Macaca mulatta: one gene and its partner. The protein of the gene in region 2 interacts with the protein of the main gene of each other region in a pairwise test. Links are inferred from orthologs where the notes say so. Each region holds a gene or a part of one and is shown on either strand. Other genes may lie near its edges. The genes, in order: ZBTB32 and PITX1.

Region 1 (4,404 bases), on a different chromosome or scaffold from region 2:
CCGTCTCGGCCTCCCAAAGTGCTGGGATTACAGGCTTAAGCCACCACACCCGGCTTTTTTTTTTTTTTTTTTTTTTTTTTTTTTTGAGACAGAGTGTTGCTCTGTTGCCCTGGCAGGAGTGCAATGGCATGATCTCGGCTCACTGCAACCTCTGCCTCCCGGGTTCAAGTGATTCTCCTGCCTCAGACTCCTGAGTAGCTGGGATTACAGGTGCCTGCCACACGCCCGGCTAATTTTTGTATTTTCAGTAGAGACAGGGTTTCACCATCTTGGTCAGGCTGGTCTCGAGCTCCTGACCTGGTGATCCGCCCACCTCAGCCTCCCAAAGTGCTGGGATTACAGGTGTGAGCCACCACGCCCGGCCACCCAATCCTAGTTCTGTACAGAGCCACCACAGGGTAATAATACTTCATCCAGGGCAAACAGCTTGGCTGAGATTCAGAACCCTTCTCCCTAGAATCTCCAGAGGATTACTGGCCTAACCTCTTGGCCACATCATCCAACCTGGACCCCATACTGGGAAATCTCCCAAGAACATCTCAACCTGGAGTCCAGAACATTCACTCCCAGCCCAGGCTGGCTCCAAAGACCCCAGAAGACCTTCAAGTGAACACTAGTTTCATCTCTTGGCCAGTGACTTTCTACGTAACTTTTTTTTTCCTTTTCTTTTTTTTTTTTCTTAAGACAGGGTCTCGTTCTGTCGCCCAGGCTGGAGTGCAATGGCACAATCTCGGCTCACTGCAACCTTCACCTCCCGGGTTCAAGCTGTGCTCCTGCCTCAGCTTTCTGAGTAACTGGAATTACAGACATGTGCCCCCATGCCCAGGTAATTTTTTTTGGAAACCTCGTAGAGACAGAGTTTCTCCATGTTGGCCAGGCTGGTCTCAAACTCCTGACCTCAAATGATCCACCTGCCTCAGCCTCCCAAAGTGCTGGGATTACAGGCATGAGCCACCGTGCCCGGCCCCTACATAACCTTTGGAGATCCTCAGGCCTCTCCTTTCAGTCACCAGATTCAGGCTCAGTCCAGAGACCCCTCGTAACCTCTCATTGTCCAGAGGCCATACCTCATGGTCAATGACCCTGTGCAGAGCTAAGGGCCTGCAACTTCCCCACAACACCCTTCGCACTCAGGCTGGCCTCAGGGGCCGTGGACCAACCCAGAGGGCAAGCTGGCTTGGCCTCTGCCAAACCTAGGCCTAAAGGTGGCCAGGAGGCTGCATTTCCAGCCTCTCAAAGACAGAGGAAAGCCCTAAGGGCTAAAACCCTCAACCCGCACTTCCCAATCATCAACGGGGCCAAACTCCCACACCCCAGCTTTGCCTGGGCCAGGCCCAAGCCCAAGAAAGTAAAGAAAAACTATGGCACTCACCGGCCCAGACCCTGTTCCTCCTTCCCTTTCAGCCTCACATACACTCAGGATGGCTCAAGGCCGAGTGACCGTTAAAAGTGGGGAGTGGAGCGAGGCCAGGGACGCAAGGCTCCCGCACGTGGTCACCCCCAGATCCTGAGGCGGACGCTGATTGGCTGCAGCGCGGGTCGCACTCTCCCGCTCAGGCCAGCTGAGCACGCTGGGCAGCATGGGAGGCACCTAGGACAGCGCCACTCCCGCGCGTCTGTCTCTGACCTGCAGCTGATTGGCTGTGAAGAGGCAGGGCCTTGAGTCTCATTGGTCCGTAGGCTTCAGGCCTCTTAGGCTGAGATTTCATTGATTTCCAGCCGGGCTCCAGCGTTGATTGGCTGTGGAGTCTGCCCTTTCCCACTCTCTCCATGAAGAGACTGGACCCTGATTCTCCCTTACCTGAACAGCCCTGGAGGCTCCCTCAGCAAGTGCTCCGGAGTACCACTGTCCTTTTTTTTAAAAAAAAAAAAAAATTATTTCATTTTTATTTTATGAACAGGGTCTCCCTCCGTTGCCCGTGCTGGAGTGCAATGGTGCAATCATAGTTCACTGCAGCCTGGAACTCCTGGGCTCAAGCAATCCTCCCGCCTGGGCCTCCCAAAATTCTGGGACTACAGCCGTGAGACACCGTGCCTGACCTGCCTTTCTTGCTTCTATTTTGCCTCCCTAAGTAGCTCCCATTTGCAAACCCTGTCACCTTTCTCTCAACCCTTTACCATCTGGGAAGTGTGTAGGGGTGTGTAGGCTGCCGCCACACCTGATTGGCCTGGAGGCCCATAAGAGCAAGCCAAGGCCAGGCACTGTGTCTCATGCCCGTAATCCCAGCGCTTTGAGAGGTCCAGGTGGTAGTAGGATCCCTTGAGCCCAGGAGGTCGAGGCTGCAGTGAGCTATGATCACATCACTGCACTGCAGCCTGGGTGACATAGTGAGACCCTGTCTCTAATAAATAAAGATAAAATAAAAGAGCCAGCCAGGCAGGGCGCGGTGGCTCACGCCTGTAATCCCAGCACTTTGAGAGGCTGAGGCGGGCGGATCATCTGGAGTCAGGAGTTCGAGAACAGCATGACCAACATGGTGAAACCCCATCTCTACTAAAAATACAAAAATTAGCTGAGCGTGGTGGCGGGCACCTGTAATTCCAGCTACTTGGGAGCCTGAGACAGGAGAATCGCTTGAACCCCGGGATTGCAGGGAGCCGAGATCGCACCACTGCACTCCGCCTAGGAGACAGAGCGAGACTCCGCCTCAAAAAAAAAAAAAAGTCAGCCAGGCTTCGGTGCCTGTGGACAGCTCCCTTTTCTCTCCTCTTGTCCTCTTGTCCCACTCCACTACGACTGCTGGCACAGCTCACTCTGCCTCGCCTGGACGTGTACAGGGACAAGGAAGACACAAGAGGGGGCAGTACCTTGCCCGGTGATTGGCAGTGTGACACTCGCACTTCCAATTCCCACTGCCACCTCGACTGTATGCTCAGCCAGGAGTAACGGCGCGCGGACGTGTCAGCACTCCCGCCCACCACCCCACCGCAGAGGGAACGGCCGATTGCGCTGCCCCAACATTAACTGGCCCGGGGATTAGACTCCCTCCAGCAGGCTTTCCCCCTGGGCAGGGCTTCGGGGCTGACAAGCTGCGAGCTCGCCCCTTGCCAATCTTCCGAGGTGCTTGTCTGCGGGCCTTCTGGCCCGGCCCCCGCGGCGGTTGCACCGCTGATTGGCTGGCTCCGCTCCTTTCTAAGCGGCTTAGCCCGGGATTCATTCTCAAGCACAGCCAATGAGACGCCAGGGCGCCTCAAGGAGGCGGGCATGGCTCCTCCGCTGCCGCCTCTGACTGGCCCTAAGGCTCGTCTTCGCTTTAAACTGACCAGAGGGCAGCGGGGCGGGAGTTTAGCGCAGCAATTTCAGGCTGTGATGAGATTTCGGTCCCTTCCCGCTACGCGGAGTGTTGGCGCGTCCTTCGCAGCCGCTCGCTGAGGAGTTCGAGCGGGGGGGAATGGGGGTGGTCAGGAGGCAGGAGAGCACCTCGCGGAAGAGCCTGGGACAACAGCCAGAGCTGTAGGTCTTGACAGAGACAGCCTGAGGCGTCCCTGGCCCCAATAGGGAGCGAAACCGCTAAAATGGGGGAAGGGGCCGGGCACGGTGGCTCACGCCTGTAATCCCAGCACTTTGGGAGGCCGAGGCGGGCAGATCACCTGAGCTCCGGAGTTCGAGACCAGCCTGACAAATATAGTGAAACCCCGTCTCTACTAAAAATACAAAAATTAGCCAGACGTGGTGGGGGACGCCTGTAATCCCAGCTACTCAGGAGGCTGAGACAGGTGAATTGCTTGAACCCGAGAGGCGGAAGTTACAGTGAGCCAAGATGGCGCCACTACGCTCCAGCCTGGGCGAAAGAGCAAGACTCTATCTCAAAAAATAAAAATAAAAAGTAAAGTAAAAAGGGGAGAAGGACTGGCGCTGTGGTGGGAGTAACAGCACCTCGCGTTTATCCAGCCCTTTCCATGTGCTACGCTTGTGCATCAACTCGTTGAAACCTAAATAACCTAAATAACTAAAGAGGTGAAGTCGTTTTTTTTTTTTTTTTTTTTTTTTTTTTGAGACGGAGTCTTGCTCTGTCGCCCAGGCTGGAGTGCAGTGGCGCAATCTCGGCTCACTGCAAGCTCCGCCTCCCGGGTTCACGCCATTCTCCTGCCTCAGCCTCCCGAGTAGCTGGGACTACAGGCGCCAGCCACTGCGCCCGGCTAATTTTTTCTATTTTTAGTAGAGACGGGGTTTCACCATGGTCTCGATTTCCTGACCTTGTGATCCGCCCGCCTCGGCCTCCCAAAGTGCTGGGATTACAGGCGTGAGCCACCGCGCCCGGCCTTTTTGTTTTGTTTTGTTTTTGTTTTTGTTTTTTTTTGTTTTTTGTTTTTGTTTTTTGAGACGGACTCTCGCTCTGTCGCCCAGGCTGGAGTGCAGTGGCGCAATCTCGGCTCACTGCAAGCTCCGCCTCCTGGGTTTAC
Region 2 (4,501 bases):
GCTCACAGCTCTATGCCTAAAGACACAGAAAGGGCCACAAATTCTCAAAATCAGACAGGAAGAAACACAGAGCAAATGTAAATTAAGAAGCCAGAAAGCTCGGTACAAACACACCCCTAACTAAATACAGACCTGTAAGTGTATAAACTCCAGGCTGACAGAAGCATTTATTTCTTTGGGATTTAAAAAAATAATGTACCGTTGTAAATAGATTTTTAACTCCCTCCCAATAAGGCCCTTACAGAGATAATTTTTAAATCCCAGAGAAACACATTATAGTTAGATAATTTAAATTCCCCAAATAACACCACTGTAAATGGATTTTGAGAAAATTCCGGAGAAACGCGCCATTTTGGATTGACTTTTTAAAATCTCCGGAAGAATAATGTTGCATGTAGATATTTTAAATTCCAGAGACCTACACTTAGTATATTAATTATTTCAAAATCGAAAGATAAAGTTAAAATTGTTAATTCATCCTCATAGATTTGGTTCAAAAAATCAATCTATGATTATATATCTCTCTAGGTTTTAAAAATAAAACCAACCAAAGACCGCACTTAAAACTTTTGAAAACAAAAGTATAGTTCAGCGTTGATTGTGTTTTAACCAAGCAAACAGAACCTCTCAGAAAAATCACTTAGGGATGCAAAAGAGAAACAAACAGATTAAGAAAGTGTAAAGAAACACTCAGCTGTGTATTAAGAAATGAACAGAAGAAACGAGCAGAAGAGGCGCCCATGCCGGGGAGCTCTGAGCCCCTCGGGGACCCAGGCGGCTGTGCTGGGCAGCGGATTCGCTACCCTACTGCCCGCGCCGGCCACCCCCGGGCCCAGTTCGCTGCTGGAAAAAAGCTCCAGCTCGTACAAAAAGGCAGCGCGGAGGGAGACGCGCCGGAGCCGGGGCGGGGGCCAGGGCCGGGCAGCTCCGGGCTTCGGCTGCACACGTGGGCCGGATCCCTCGATCGGGGTTCGGGCTGGCCTTGCTGGGAGTCCGGCCGCGCCTCTTGGCCCGCTCGCCCTCACCGTCTTCTGTGTCTTCCTTCTACTTGATGACCCCCTCTCCCCGTTTACCCTTCCCGCCCGCCCCTTCTCTTTGGCCTCTCTCTTTCATTCTGTCGCCTACTGTCACGGTGTTAGCCTCTCTCTCTGTCTCTCTGAGGGCGTTCTCTCGCCCGTCACCCCCATTCCTTTCTCGGTCTGCTCCTCTCCCTTCGTCCGAGTCGCTTCTTAGTGCCCAGTTGCGCAAATCCAATTTTCCCCCGTTCTATTTACTCCTGATCAAGAGGGGCTGTCAGTCCAACCCTCTAGCTGTAGGCTCATGCATCTGCCAGTCTGTTGGCGCGTGGGGACCGCGTGGAAGTGCCTTCGCGTATGCGTTAAGTTTCCGCGTTCACCATCAGGTCGAGAACGGGAAAAAGAAAGCTCCTGACGCTTCTGGGGCGGAGAGGGAGCTTGGTTGCACGGCGCGGGCGTCAGGCCCTGCTCCCAGCTCCCCGTGCCCCGCGCCCAAGTAGGCTCCGTGCGCGCCGCGAGGGGAACGGCGCTTACCTGGCAGCTCGGTGTCAGACGACTCGCTGGCGGAGTTCTCGAGCTGCTCGCGGTGGTCGGCGGGCCGGGCCAGGTGGAAGGCGGGCCCCATGTCATGGGGTGGCGGCGGCGGCGGCCGGAGCCCCTCCGGTAGCCGCTCCAGGCTCATGCCCCCCTTGAAGGCGTCCATGGAGGTGGGGACCGCGGCGGGCGCTCCAGGGGCCGGGGCTGGGCGCGCCCCGCCGCCCTGGCTGCGACCTGCGGGGACAAGAGCGCAGCGCCTAAGCAGCTGCCCTCCAGGGCTGCCGGCGCCCGCAGCGACGCCGTACCCGCCCCATGGACCGCCCGGGGCTGCGGGGCCGGGCGGGCAGAGGCGGCGGCAGCTTCTCGCGACCGGGCGCCTGGCTTAGCGCTCTGTGCTGCGCTTCTGCCGCTCGGGCCTCAGCAGCCGGGCCGGCCCCGGCTCCGGCTCCGACTCGCGATCCGGGGCCGGTTTCTAAGGCTCCGGACGGCGCCGGCAGAGTCTGTCTTAAAGCGACAGCGCGCACAGCCAGGTTCCAGCAGTCCCTGCGCCAGGGGTGCTGGGTGGGGTGGGCCTGGGTGGGAGGGGGCTGGGGAGGGAGCGAGCGAGCGAGGGAGCGCGGGCGGAATCCAGCCCCAAGCCGCCCGCGCCGCCGCGCCCTCTCTGCCGCCCTCCCTCCCTCCCTGCCTCGCCCGCGCCCTCCCCCTCCGCAGCCACCTTCCCGCCGCCTCCCCGCCCCCCGCGGCCTCGCCGCGCCTCTCCCTCCTTCCCCGGTGACACACCGAGTTCTCCCTCGGCCTCACAAAAGAAACGCATCTGGGCTGCAAGTCCCGGGCGGCTCGTGCCCACCTCAGGCCCCAAATGACTTGTTTCGCCTAGAATCAACTCCCGTCTCGGCCGCCTCGAAGTCCCCAGCGCTGGCGAGAACAGCCCAGGATGAGTGAATGTTTGCCGAGCAGGATCGCACGGAGCGGGCGCCTTCGAGCCAGCGCCGGGGCGGGGGCAGAGCCCGGGGCCCGTTCCGGCAGCTCCCAGCGGTGTCCTCGTCGAGGGGCCGCCTGCCCCTCCTTCTCCAGCCTCTTCTCCCGGGAACTCAGCCCGGCTGAGTGACAGCAGCCTGCGCTCTAATGGGCCCCCGGATGCTGCCTCCTAATTAGCTTGGACCTTCTCCCCTAAGGCTGCTTCTCAGGCCTCCCTCTCTGCACCGCAGTCAATTTTCCGGGATTGGGATAGAAATGATGGCTTCTAATCAGACGAAACGTTTCTGCTGGCTCTAGGCGTTTGGAGAATGCAGAGGGAAGACCCCAGAATCCCAGCCAGGCCCCACAGCCTCTTCTACCTCTCCCCTTGTTTTACACCTTACACTTTGGCCAAATGGGCCAGGCCTGGCCTTGGCAGGCATGGGGTTGGCCTTGGCAGCCTTTGCCCTCCTTCAGGGTAGCTTTGTCCCAGCCTGGGGCCTGCATCCTGGCTTCCCAGGGCTTCAGGCACAGGCCTGGTAGGCCAGGTGACTGCTGTCTCCCAACCCTGGGCCAGCAGCCCAGGAAGCCCTCAGTCTTCCAGCTTCTCTCCCACACAGTGGTAGCTGAGTTGCAGCTCCAATGGGCCTTCACTGGGCACAGGCAAAGACATTACTCTCCCACTCCCAAGAGTGATTCCCTCCTCAAGTCCTTGCACGTAGGTGAAGTTTGTCGAAGGATTTTGCTCAACAATTGTTACCTGGCCCCAAGACCTCAGCGTCTTGAGCAAACAGGCCACAGCTGGGGCGGCAAGGCGCCGCCCTGACCTGCTTCTCTGGCCATAGGCGGACCCCAGACTGCCCTCTGCCCCTCACCTGTGACCAGCTCCACCAGACACAGCAACCCAAGGGAGCAGCGCCAGGGAGATTGTCGGTCTGGGAAAGAAGCAGGGAGGTGTCCAGTGTCCTCACCCCAAAACCCAGTGCCTCCTCAACTCCTGGGTGGGTGGCACTGACTGCGCAGGTGTCGGCGTCTGGGGCACTCTGCAGGTTCTGCCTTTGAGTCCTCGCCTTACCCCTTCGCATCACAGGGAGACACCCACGGTCAGCTGAGCTCCTTGTGAGGGCGGCTGGGGCCAGGGGCAGGCACACAGGCTGGAACCAGACCTGCCTTCCATTCCCTCCATGTTAGTCCAAAGCACCCCTGCCCCCATCCCCCACTCTGGGCCATGGAGAGACAGCACAGCTCCTTAGGGCCTGGCCCTTTCTCACTGTGCGTCTGTGACCATAGAATGCAGGGTCTGAGGCCAGAGGGATGACACTTCCCAGGAGTTTGGGTTGGGGAGGCTCAGTGACTTCTGCCTTCTTCCAAGCTGAGATCTCCCTCCATGAAATGAGTCTTGGTCATGGGCAGAGGAACATGGGGAAGCACAGTTGCCCAGCATTTGCCCTCAGCCCCACCTTTACCACGTTTCTTGGAGTCTCCAGTAGAAGATCCCTCCTTTCAAGGAGATATTCAGGTGCTGCAGCATGCTGGGGAGTGTCCCTTCACACACCATTCTCCTTTTAGCTGTCTTATCCCATAGAACAGCCTGAGTGCAGACAGCATGGGGGCACGCGCGCACACGCACATCCTATACATCCATGCGGAGATGCTGTGCACACACATGTACTCACTGCACTATGGAAGCGCTGAGTTTAGGCATATGTGTGCTACTTGGCATGAACGCCGGCTGGCATGGGATAGGAGGTGTGTTCTAACCCCGCCACATGTCAGGCCAAGGTGGGAAGCACCGTGCGTCTCTGGGCAGAGACTTAGAAATGAATGATCTGTCTGTGGGCATCCAGAGGAGGTTGGGACTCATAGCCCCCTCACTTCCCAGAGGGACCAAAGTGACTCTTTGGGCCATCCCCCAGTGGGAACTGTTTTGTGAGCAGCACTCACTGCTTAGTCTGAGGGGCTGTATCCTCACTGTTAGTGCATTTAATGCA

What was found.
Region 1: the proteins of PITX1 (region 2) and ZBTB32 interact in a two-hybrid assay, tested with the Homo sapiens proteins (2 studies listed by BioGRID). The link is inferred for Macaca mulatta from reciprocal best matches to the Homo sapiens genes PITX1 and ZBTB32.

The regions. Positions count from the first base shown.
Region 1 is NC_133424.1:46,949,436-46,953,839, reverse strand, and holds the start of ZBTB32 (zinc finger and BTB domain-containing protein 32), read right to left. Parts: upstream 3,083-4,404; 5' UTR 2,809-3,082; intron 1,852-2,808; 5' UTR 1,802-1,851; intron 1,582-1,801; exon of another isoform or gene 1,373-1,581; intron 1-1,372. UniProt on the Homo sapiens protein: DNA-binding protein that binds to the to a 5'-TGTACAGTGT-3' core sequence. May function as a transcriptional transactivator and transcriptional repressor. Probably exerts its repressor effect by preventing GATA3 from binding to DNA.
Region 2 is NC_133411.1:143,947,178-143,951,678, forward strand, and holds the start of PITX1 (pituitary homeobox 1), read right to left. Parts: upstream 3,080-4,501; 5' UTR 2,368-3,079; coding exon 2,334-2,367; intron 1,788-2,333; coding exon 1,551-1,787; intron 1-1,550. UniProt on the Homo sapiens protein: Sequence-specific transcription factor that binds gene promoters and activates their transcription. May play a role in the development of anterior structures, and in particular, the brain and facies and in specifying the identity or structure of hindlimb.